2 linked regions of the Caenorhabditis elegans genome follow. The protein of the gene in region 1 purifies or fractionates together with the protein of each later gene. This does not show direct contact. Each region holds a gene or a part of one and is shown on either strand. Other genes may lie near its edges.

Region 1 (3,467 bases):
AGAAAAGAGAGGTTCTCGTATCCCAGCAGGGGGTAACAGCATCTGTCATCCAAGGCACCACATCCCTGTTATTTTCATTTTCGAAACGAAACCGCAAAAAAAGAAAAAGCTGCGCCGACTGGCGAACAGATTTTGTAATTATATGTATGAATACTGTGATGACAAGAGACATTGACAAATGCGACACTTTTAGAAGTTGCTCCAAAATTTAACCTACAGTAGCCTGTATTCTTTTTCGGAAGAGTTCCATGTAGCCTGTCTCCTAATTAAAAAACATAACGAATATTTGATTTCTCGAAACGAGCTTTTGAAAATGTTGCATGAGCCTTTGAATGTGTACCGTCACTTGTGCGGGTTTAGAACATGCGTGAAAAATTCCAAAAAAATGTTTAATTTGCAAACTGTCTAAAATTTCAGATGCAGGATGGCTCATCAGGTGCTGCAAGTCTTGGAAACAGTTCCCCAGATGCAACAGATTGTGTAGTATGTGGAGATAAATCAAGTGGAAAACATTATGGACAGTTCAGTTGTGAAGGATGCAAAAGTTTCTTCAAAAGGTTTATTCATTTTTTAACTTTCTTGAGAGCAATCAGGAGCCAAACGAACAATCCGATGCTAACAAGGCTGAGGAAGACGAGGGTCAGGGTGAGAGCCAGGAAGACGACGAAGAAGCCTTCTCTGAAAATTATTTTTATTTTTAAACAAAATTGCAATAACCTAAAAGCTGCCAGTTTTCAAGTAGATTGAGCTTTATTGGAATTCAAAAATTAGAAATTGCGAACACTTAGCGCAGGCTGCGCCCTAGTTGACAAAAGTTGAATCAAAATTGTCCGACGCCTCAATAAAATTTTTGCCAACTTTTGAACCAGGATCCGTGTAGTCCTTATTAGAACTGCACTTTCACGCCTCAATTTTGATAGCTCATGTCTTGCTTATATTTAGTTTCATTACAAATTGTTGATCCTATAATAAATCAAGCAGCAAGTTATAACCAAATGCTGAGCACGTACCTTCTCTTCACTCCTTGCGCAGTTGGCTTTTTCGGTGCTGCCCCTGGTTTTGCTGTGACAGCAGCAGCTCCTGGCTTTGATATAGCAGCAGCGTCTGGGCTCGCTGCAGTAGCAGCTCCTGGGTTTGCAGCAGCTTTGGCAGCACCCCCTGGTTGTGGTGTGGAAACGTCTCCTGGTTTTGCTGAAGAAGCTGCTCCTGGTGTTGCTGTAGCATCTCTCTTGTTACGAATCAATCTGTTAATTGTGCAACTATTTAGATGATACATACGCCTATAACTTACACTCCTTTTTCTCTTTCATACTCCGGATTCTCGTCCATATGTCTCACCGATTGTCTGATGCCATTGTATGGCTTTCCGGGTTCAGTCTCAACTCCGGACAGGTCCGCTTGGCGAATTTTTTGACTTAAAATATTTGGAATCATTAGGAAGGATATTTGGATGTAGAAGACTTGTTCGAGCTTAGAACGGAAAAAGGCCATTATTCTGTTGATCTACGAGCGATTCCGCATTAAACTTAGTAAAAAAACTTTTTCCAATATAGATAAGAAAAACACTAGAAATTTCAATAAAGGTGTTCTTTGCGAAATCGATCGTAAATCGACCTCTCTTTCTCGCCTTGACTTACCCATAAACATTTATGCCCATATGAGCAGCACAGACGACGAGCAAGAGTAGGAGAAGTTTACCTGAAACCGATTGGCTGAAAGTTCTTGTGAGAGAAAAGAAAACTCACTAGACATTGCGTCCTAACAAAACTTGGAACGGCTATTCGTCGACAAAATAAGTATCGAAATGAATTAATTATCATATTTTAATCTACAGATCAATTCGACGTTCATTATCTTACACGTGTCGTGCTACGAAGAACTGTGCCATTGACGTGCAACACCGAAATCAATGCCAATATTGTCGATTGACAAAATGCATTCGAATGGGAATGAGAAAAGAAGGTGAGATGAGAACATTATTTGATTTTCTGAAAAAGTTTAATGACAAGATTTGACTTATGGGCTCTGGGAAAGTGAATATTACTATATTCAAGCAAAATTCATCAATTAATGAAGAAAGACTACGGTACCGGGTCTTGCCACGACAGAAAATGTTTTAAGTGAAAGCTGGAAAAAACGAGTGAGCGCCTTTAAGGAGCACAATAGTTTTCACATATCGCTACGGCTGGAAATAACTATACGCAACATTTGTGGCACCCTTTTTCTCATATTTTATGAAACATTTTCGGTCGTACCGATTTCTGGTAACGTAGTTTTCTTCTTCTTTAATGTATTACAAAAATAGCTTTTTTGTAGTAAAAATTTTGCCTTTGTCTACTTGAAGGCACATAGTTTTATAAAATTTGTTTCTCTTTTTCTCGTGTCGAGACCCATCCAAACAAAAATTTGAGGTATTTGTTTCACTTTTAAACTACCCAAGCCATACGCATATTCATGTCATCATACCATTTTACTGTATTTCCTCAATCCTGAATCCTGAATTTTGGCAGAAGATATCTAGGTTAATATAGAAAGCATAAATAAATTGAAGTTAAAATGAAACAGAAACATTTTCCTTTTTTTTTTTCAAATTTGTGATAATCTGAATAATGACTGAGAAACGAGCTGCCGAGAATGAGGAATTCAAGGCTATTATATGAAATATAGTGTTTGCCATTTACAACTACCACGTGGATTTTCATTCGATCTACAGGAAGAAGATCCAATGAGACTCAGACCGCAGTTTCAGCAGTTCAACGAGGTCGTCTACCTGTTACAATGCCAAGTTTGTTCCCTCCAAATATGTTTTTGCGATCTCCATTTCCATTTATGTCTGTACCATTCAATCCACTCATGACTGCTCAATTCACAAAACCATCGATTAAAGGTGAGCTGAAGAGATGATTTTGCTCTATAATTGTGATTAACAGAATCAATATTTGAATTTGCGGCTCAAACAATCTTTGCAACTGTCAACTGGGCTCGTACAAGTATGAGTAACCTTGTGAAAGGGGATCAATTGATTCTGCTCCGTCACAGCTGGACGCCCATTTTCATTTTTGCACTGGCTCAATCGAATTTCGCACTCAATCTTTCAACCCATTTAACTGCAGTTACGGCAACGGCGGCGTCAACAGAAAATGGATCTTCTTCGTTGGGTTCAAAGTCAGAAGATGAGGAAAAGAGTGAAGAAAAACCGGAAAGAGTATTTGATGAGCCACAGTTTCAGGGATTTCAGGTAATCATTTGAATTCCAGAAAAAAAATTTTGACATAAGGTTTTGAAGAGAATAAATTATTTATGTAATTTTGAAAAGTAGTCGGCTCTTTTTGACCGATTTTTCATATTTTCCGGAGCCGTGATCAAATGATTTTTCAGGCGAAAATTGATAAGATCCGTGACTTTCATTTGGATGTCGTTGAAAGCTCGTCTCTTCGAGCGGTTCTTCTTTTTAGTTGCGGTGAGTT
Region 2 (7,989 bases), on another chromosome or scaffold:
CCTTTTATTGTTATATTTCAATTTTCAAAATGAGTAGGCACTGCAGTTCAACTCGTTAGTTCATTAGCCACACATGATAAATATCACACATTTGATGAGTAGCGACTTATATTTTAAATTTTTGTAGAGGCTTTTCCAACTCTAGAAGACCCCAACTTCAAAGATAGGTACCAGATTTATTCTTTTAGGATTAACACTATTTTCGAAACCTACCTCTCCGCCACATTTCTCCCATTTCCCATCCAGTGACAAATTCTTCGGATCATTACCCCGTTATCTGCACTATGAATCATTTCTTTTGTACTTAATACATTCAACTGCCGCCATTATTTGGTCAGTAAGTAATGACACGGAGGGGTCATCTTGAATTGACCTAAACGGATAGAATGAGGAGAAGGAGAGTCGTTTGTTCCAATCTCCATTTGCTTCTGATTTTTGCACTCGTTTCCCCACTGGTTTTTTTGGTAAAGTGGAAAACTTTCCAAAAATTTGTACTTTTTGAGTAATTTTGAGCATTGCTGCAAGAATCCCTAGAATTTAAAAAAACGAACAAGTAAAACAAAATTAAAATAAAACTTGTTCAAAAACAATTTTTGGTCGACTTTTGAAATTATGTCAGGATAACTGAGTTTCCACCATTTTTGAGAAATAAAAAAGTTCAAATATTTTTTAAAACTTATTTTGGCATTTTAGAAATATAGGAGCGGTTTTAAATAAGTTCCTTGCTGACTCTCTATATTTGGGTTAAAATTAAGCTTCAAACAATCTTTATAGTTATTAGAACAATTGATATCCAAAACCAACATATTAATGAAATGTAGTACACCCACAATCACATCTGTGGGATTACATGAAGAAATAGAAAAGTGAAGACACACGGGAGAGGTAGTGGTGACCATGAAAGAGTAATTGTTTTGTTTGTACAAGGCAACAGCTGGCTTCCATGATAAATTTTTAATGTTCCATGTCTTTCGTGATTCTTATTGTCTATTGTCTCTGTAAATATTTTTTGTTGATGTAAACAATATCCTATATTGGAGTAATTCAATAATTATTGAACTAAGTCTAGAAACTTAATTTTTTTAATCTCGTGTTTTTTAAAAATAATTTTATTCGATCTACAATTTTACCAAAATCACCGCTTCCCTCATATGGCATCTGAACCCTCCCTTCCTCCTACATAAATTTCTCAATACGTACCAAAATATTTCATCACCAAGTAACCGCATACACCATTCGCATTTGTCCTCCTATTCCTCCACTTGTCCTCTTCTTTACTTTTCATCCACTTTTTGCGTCTTCCAAATATCGTTCTTTACCAACTGTGAGTGAGAGAGAAGGGTACCTCCTGCCGCCTGCTGCTGTAGCCATTTCCCTCTCTCGCTGTGGTTCAGTATACTCGCTGATTGACACATCTGTCCTTTTTCATTCCCTCCGTGTTGTCCTGGTCATCGTTCAATCGTTTTCCTTCATATTCTTCCTCACCATATCTTTCTCTGCTTTGCCTTCGTTCAATTTCTGATGGTACGATTTTGTTAAAGTGTTTCACGGGACAAACTTTTGAAGTCGCGACGTTTTCTAGAACCGCATGAACTCAAATTGTCACATGCATCTAAATAGACAACAATTTTTGCTCACCTTTCTTTAAAATTTCGATATGAATTTCCATAATTTTCAAAGTTCTATTCTACTAAACTTAATAAAGACTAAGCATGCAAACCTGAACCTAAAAACTTGAACGTAACCTAAGCTATGAGCGAAAACTGTTGTCAATTTACGAATGCATATTCTCGCGACATAATGATATTACTCCTTAATAATACATAGAACACTCATGCTCACAGACCTCTAGATTCAAAGGCCTTTATGGTGTCTGACTATTTTTGTCTTCATCACACATTTTTCGAAATTCTCACTTTTTATTCAACTTCTTGACCCTTTTAACTTTCATTTAATATTGCTAAATTTCAGAATTGTACATGTAAATTCTTTCCAAAAATGAGTGATAACTCATCTAATCAGTTTCTACTTCTGCTAGCAGCTGCACAGCAACAACAGCAACAACAACTTCTACAGCAACAACTTGCAAAGATCCAGAAGGCCACTGCATCATCTCCATCGAAATCAACTAATGGAACATCAGCATCAACGTCGGCTGTCCCGTCAACTTCTGGGACATCGTCATCTCAAAATGAAGCAGCTCAGTTGCAAAATTTAGCAAAAATGCAGCAAATTCAGCAGCTGGCCCAGTTTGGAGCACTCATGGCTGCGCAGAAGAAACAACAAGAAAAAGCGGCAGCTGATAAGGCAAAGGAAAAAGAAAAGGAGAAGCAAAAGGCTGCAGCAGCAGCTGCCGCCGCCGCAGCAAAAGCCTCAGCGTCTACTTCCTCCGCATCAGCAATTCCTGGATTGTCTCCAGAAATGCTCGCAGCATGGCAACAAGCAATCCAGATGCAAGCTCTCCAACAAATGATGATGACTCCACAGAAATCTCAAATGGAAGAAGCTATCAAGAAAATGATGGATATGGCAAAGAAGAAGCCAGCTGGAGTCGCCTCAACAAGTTCAGCATCTACAAGCTCATCCACACCATCCACATCATCAGCTTCAATTACATCATCTAATAACAATGCAGCGAACAACGCTGCGAGCAATATGATGAACAATGTGATGTGGCAATTGGTGGCAGCACAAATGCAACAAAAACAGCAACAACAACAGAAGGATACTCAGAAAAAGGCGGTAAGATATTGCTTTTTATATTATTTTTGAGAAAAATGTTGAATACTTTCAGGATCAAGCGAAAAAAGCGAAAGAGCTTGCCAAACAACAACAGAAAGAGCAAGATGTGAAGAATAAGCAACAAGAGGAGATTTTGAAGTTTCTTATGGCTCAACATCAGCTGAATCATCAGAAAAAGCATGAGAAGAAGCAAGCTGACGCAGCTGCACTCGCAGCAAAAGTGCTTGCAGCTCACCGAGCAGCACTCGAATCGGACAGTCCTGAAGAAGGGAAAAAGACTAATGAAGCAATGCTTCGATTGCCTCTTCAACTTGGATGGAGGCGTCAAACATGTGTCAGAAGTATTGCTTCCGCTGGAGTTAAAGGAGATGTTTCGTATTTTGCTCCGTGCGGAAAAAAGTTGAGCACATACTCGGAAGTTGTTAGGGTAAGTCCGTTTGATGTGTATAATTCAAAATTATTGGTTTCATAACTTTCACCGAATTGTAGTTTAAAAAATGTATACTTATTTTGTAAAAAACCAGTTAAAAAAAGTTAAATTTTACTGAAACGTAAACTTATAAAATTGAAAAAAAAAAAAATGAAATCTCAACTATTTCCAGTACCTCACCAAAAATTCGATTCACTACATCACCCGTGACAATTTTCTCTTCAACACAAAATTGGTTATCGGGGAATTCATTGTTCCAAAGCAAACAGAAGCTGATGAGACTCAACAAGAACGCGAATTTGCAATGTTTACTGAAGATGACATTAACAAGGAACTTACAAGATTAAATGTTCTGAAATTCGTTCCAAAGATCCAGGCGTCCACATCCAATGGTGTTCACGAGGATGATATCAAAATGTCCAAAATTGAAGAACCCGACGAGCCATTGGATCCATCGGAGCTTAACGATGAATTCACCGAAGAGTTAGTTCATAGTCAGATTATGTCAAATGGAGTTGATGAATGCAAGATTCGGGAGAGAGAAGCTGATGATCTACTAGTAAATATCAATGATGTTCGGCATCTCCCAGATTTTTCTAGAATTGGTAATCAATGTCTGAGTTCACAAGGATTCGCTGATGCACTTATGGTTCACGAATTTGTACAAAACTTTGGTCATGTTTTAGGAATAGGTAAGCTGCTAAAACTAAAGTATGTTATTTAAAGAAGAGCATTTTCAGATCTTGAAATCGCCCCAAAACTAGAGTCGTTATGCGCAGGATTAGATGGAGATGCTAATCACGCCGAGCAAACTCTTCAATTAACTAGGCAACTATTAAGACTAGCACTTGAATTTCCTGGAATGGGAAATGAGAAAAGGTAATTTAGAAATATCATAAGATCTTGATTTTTATTTTATTTTTCAGATTTGGCCAAGGTGGAGGAGAAATGGGACTTGATCGTGAAAACTTCAGTGAAGTGATGCGTCTTTTTCTTATCGACAAAGGAAAGCGAGGAGAAGAATTATCACAGCCTCTGCTTACTTGCAACTTTTTATCGATTTCTCCAGAACAAAAAGCTTCGATTTTAGCATTTCTCTGCGATGAGCTAGTTTGTTCTCGAAATGTTGTCACTGAGATTGATAAGAACCTTGATGAAATTTCAAGATTAAAAGGAGAAAAATGGATGAGAGAGGGAAAAGCTAGAGCTTTGAGATCAGCAAGAAGTAAAAAGAAGAATGACGAGAAAGTTGTAGTTGTGAAAGAAGAACAGAATCATGAGAGTGATTCTGAACCTCCAACTAGACCGGATACTCCGAAGAAAGCCACGGTTGCACCTCCAACTGTAGTTTCTGTTTCACCTGTCTCGGCAGCTCAGCAGCAACAACGAAAGTTCACTCCAGGATTAGGCCAGTGCGAGGTTTTAACAGAACAAGAAGAATCAATGAGTCTTCAACAAATGGATTCTCTGATCGGAGATCTTCATCAAGAAGCTCAAAACATCAATCAGAAGATTCATGATACTGGTCTCAAGATCCGATCCTTCCCATTCGGAACTGACCGTTTTCATCGAAACTACTGGATGTTGGCTCACACTGATAAAGTTATCATTGAGTCACTAGCAACAACTTCAGTGAACAACCCAGCCTGCAATGCAAACGAATATGCATCAAAGGATCCACCAACTCTTGAACAGCGTGTTCCAGGAGCATGTGAGACGATTGACTTAGATGTTATTGCTTGTGTTGAGGATTTGGTTGATGATGTTGTTCTGCTAAGAGCCAAAGCTGATAAGAAAACTCGAAAAAGATACAGAAGGATTGAAAATCATATGAAGAGAGGATGGTGGACAATGCAGAATAGGTCAGTGCAGCGGGATTCTGTTTAGTTTGTGTAATTATCAGAAATTTTAAAGCTAAAATTAGAAGTGTACCCAGTGTTTTTCTTTGCATAAACATATTCCTTTGTACAAATTTTAAATTAAAATTTTTCAGAGACTGTGTAGAATCCCTTCGTTCTTGTATGCTCAGTCGCGGAATTCGTGAACGTGCTCTTCATCGTCTACTCACTAAACCATGGTTTCTAAATGAACTCAAATTCGGTACAATCACAATCGAACCAGTTGGTGAGAAATCCGACCTGGAACTGGTTCGAAGACAAGGATGGACTCGACTAAATACGGCTATCGACAAGCTTCAATGTCATTTGAAAATGTCAGATGTGTCTAAACCATTGCCTTCTATCACGCCTTTCGAGACCCAGAAGCCTATTGTGGTGCCTCCTACAATGGCATTGGCGCAAATTGTGAAGGACGATATGGCATGGAAGGTTATAGATGAGGAGGTTGATGGACAAGAACTCGATGAGACTATAATCCGACAAAAAATCATTGAAACAGCGGACATGGTGCAGCCAAAGTTTTGGAGACCCAAATTTCAAAAACTGGAGGATCAAGATACATGCCAACTATTTGAGGATTGGAAGTCTTATGTTTCAACTGAAGCACAAACAACGAGTCAGTTAATGGTAGCTCTTCAAACTCTCGAAGGAATGATTATGTGGGAAAGATCATCTCGTGAAGCACTTTGTCAGATTTGTAAGAGTATGGATGGAGATGAAATGTTGGTTTGTGATGGATGTGAGAGTGGATGCCATATGGAATGTTTTAGGGTGAGTTGTGTCTCAAATGTTGGTAAAAGTTATAATATTTAGTTAGAAAATAAATTTTTCTAGTTGAAATGTACTGGAAATAAGATAAAGGTTTCGAATAAAACATACCCTTTCTCTTATCACCGTTTAAAAAAACTGGGGGCAATTTTAATAACGATAAGTTTGTACTTTCAAGGAAAATGCCCCAAACAATTGAAAAAGAATGGAATTTTTTTGAAAAAAAACTATTGTATCATTCTATCAATATTTTCTCAACTTGTTAATTTCAGCCCCGAATGACAAAAGTACCTGAAGGTGATTGGTTCTGTCAGCGGTGCCGCGAGGAAAAATCTGGAAGACCAATGTGCATGTTCTGTAGCCGTGAGACTGGAAATCTTCATCAGTGTCAACGCTGTGCATACCATGTTCATCAAGAATGTTCACAAGATGGCCCAAAAGAGGCTATAAACCCTGAAACATTTATCTGTGGGCATTGTCAAGAAATGAAGCAAATGCGTTTTGTGAAGCGACTCATTCTTCGAAGTGAATCGGAAGAACGAGAATTGGAAGATGATAATCATGCAGAAAATGGAGAGAATACTAAAAATGGTCATATGAATGGAATGAATGGAGCAATTGCAATCGGCGTTCATAATCAACAAAACGGAGTCAAAGGAAATCTGAAGAGAAAATTGGAGGTTCCAAGTATTGGTGGTCTTCCAAAAAATATGAATAAGGAGTTGTGTCAACTCATGTTGGATGAACTCGTCGTCCAAGCAAATGCTTTGCCATTTTTGGAGCCTGTCAATCCAAAATTGGTTCCTGGATATAAAATGATTATTTCAAAACCAATGGACTTGAAGACAATTCGACAGAAGAATGAGAAACTTATGTAAGTAATTTTTGATAGGAGGGTGGGAATGTCATCAGGCCTATCCTATAAGCCTATTTTGTGTTTTTCCAAATCAATTCCAGAGTCAGGTGATTGAACAGTGTAGATTTACAAATTTCTCTGTTTGAATACGGCGTTTCCTCTATTAGTCCTATGAAAGAATCGAAAAATAGTCTTGCAGCGAGACATATCAATTTTGTTTCTTTGCGATATTTGATCTCAAGCTGAAAATGAAAATAACACAGTGACTTCGATTGCCTTTTAAACAAATAGTTAAACTGTTTGATATTTTCCAGATACGAGACTCCAGAAGATTTTGCTGAAGACATAGAGCTCATGTTCGCCAACTGTCGTCAATTCAACATTGATCACTCAGAAATTGGACGTGCTGGAATCAGTTTGCACAAGTTTTTCCAAAAACGTTGGAAGCAGCTGAAATACAACTTTACAAAAAGACTCAGACGCCTTCATCGTTAATTTCATGTTTTAATCAATTATCATCTCACCGTAACCGGTTAACTTTTTCTGTTCATAAATACAAAAATCATCCCATTGATGTTCGGGTAGTTATTTAATGTTTTTTATAATTTTGCATATTTGTGCCACATGTACAGTTGTACATTTTCTCTTTTTTAATTTATTTATCAATACCCCATCACATTTCTTTCCGTGACGGATTTCTCATGCTTTGATCTGATTATTTATTGCAATCTTGAAGAAAAATGAAAAATTTTTCAAAACAATCCTGGCGACTCATAATTATGAAGACAAAAACTCATAACCACAGTTTGAAGATGATGAATATGTTTAATTATTCGCCTCACTGAAGCTTTAGTCAGTATATTGAAAACATTGGTTTTTGTGATCGTGGTTTTCTTGTAGATCTCAAAAAATGCCTCGTTCGTATCTAACAAGGCTCTAGTAATCCTACCGTTCCCCGATACCATCCTCACACTGAACCACTAATCCACTCGCTTTTTAAATCTGCTTCTTCTTTTGGCATGATGGACTACTACAGTACCCTACCGTATTGCTACAGCCCTGACAACATCCCCACACTAACCACAACCCCATTTCTCTTCTAGAGAAAGGGGGTTCAAAGACCTACGAGAAAAGTTCAAGCTACATAAATAGCACAATTATATTTTATACATCCTTATGAGTATGTACAAACTGAAACTTTAAAATAAAGATGTGGGAAAATAAATCTTCCAAAAATCAATTCATTACAATAAAAGAATTACACAGAGCAAGTACATGGTTCAATTTTTGACAAA

What was found. Proteins that work in one complex are often made in the same cells at the same time.
Region 2: the proteins of F55D12.6 (region 1) and baz-2 fractionate together in Caenorhabditis elegans (co-fractionation; one large-scale study listed by BioGRID). This does not show direct contact.

What each region holds. Positions count from the first base shown.
Region 1 is NC_003279.8:7,900,285-7,903,751, reverse strand, and holds F55D12.6 (uncharacterized protein), read right to left. Parts: upstream 1,821-3,467; 5' UTR 1,753-1,820; coding exon 1,746-1,752; intron 1,699-1,745; coding exon 1,638-1,698; intron 1,415-1,637; coding exon 1,292-1,414; intron 1,245-1,291; coding exon 1,011-1,244; intron 679-1,010; coding exon 564-678; 3' UTR 558-563; downstream 1-557. Other genes in the region: Nuclear hormone receptor unc-55, read left to right, coding at 418-557, 1,835-1,962, 2,714-2,887, 2,931-3,238, 3,379-3,460.
Region 2 is NC_003281.10:7,650,015-7,658,003, reverse strand, and holds baz-2 (Bromodomain adjacent to zinc finger domain protein 2), read left to right. Parts: upstream 1-1,971; 5' UTR 1,972-1,998; coding exon 1,999-2,742; intron 2,743-2,794; coding exon 2,795-3,169; intron 3,170-3,344; coding exon 3,345-3,864; intron 3,865-3,912; coding exon 3,913-4,051; intron 4,052-4,098; coding exon 4,099-5,034; intron 5,035-5,165; coding exon 5,166-5,841; intron 5,842-6,110; coding exon 6,111-6,712; intron 6,713-7,008; coding exon 7,009-7,189; 3' UTR 7,190-7,451; downstream 7,452-7,989. Other genes in the region: ZK783.7 (uncharacterized protein), read right to left, coding at 833-996, 1,201-1,285. UniProt on the Caenorhabditis elegans protein: Chromatin reader protein, involved in positively modulating the rate of age-related behavioral deterioration. Positively modulates the level of global trimethylated 'Lys-9' of histone H3 (H3K9me3), but not of H3K9me2 or H3K9me1.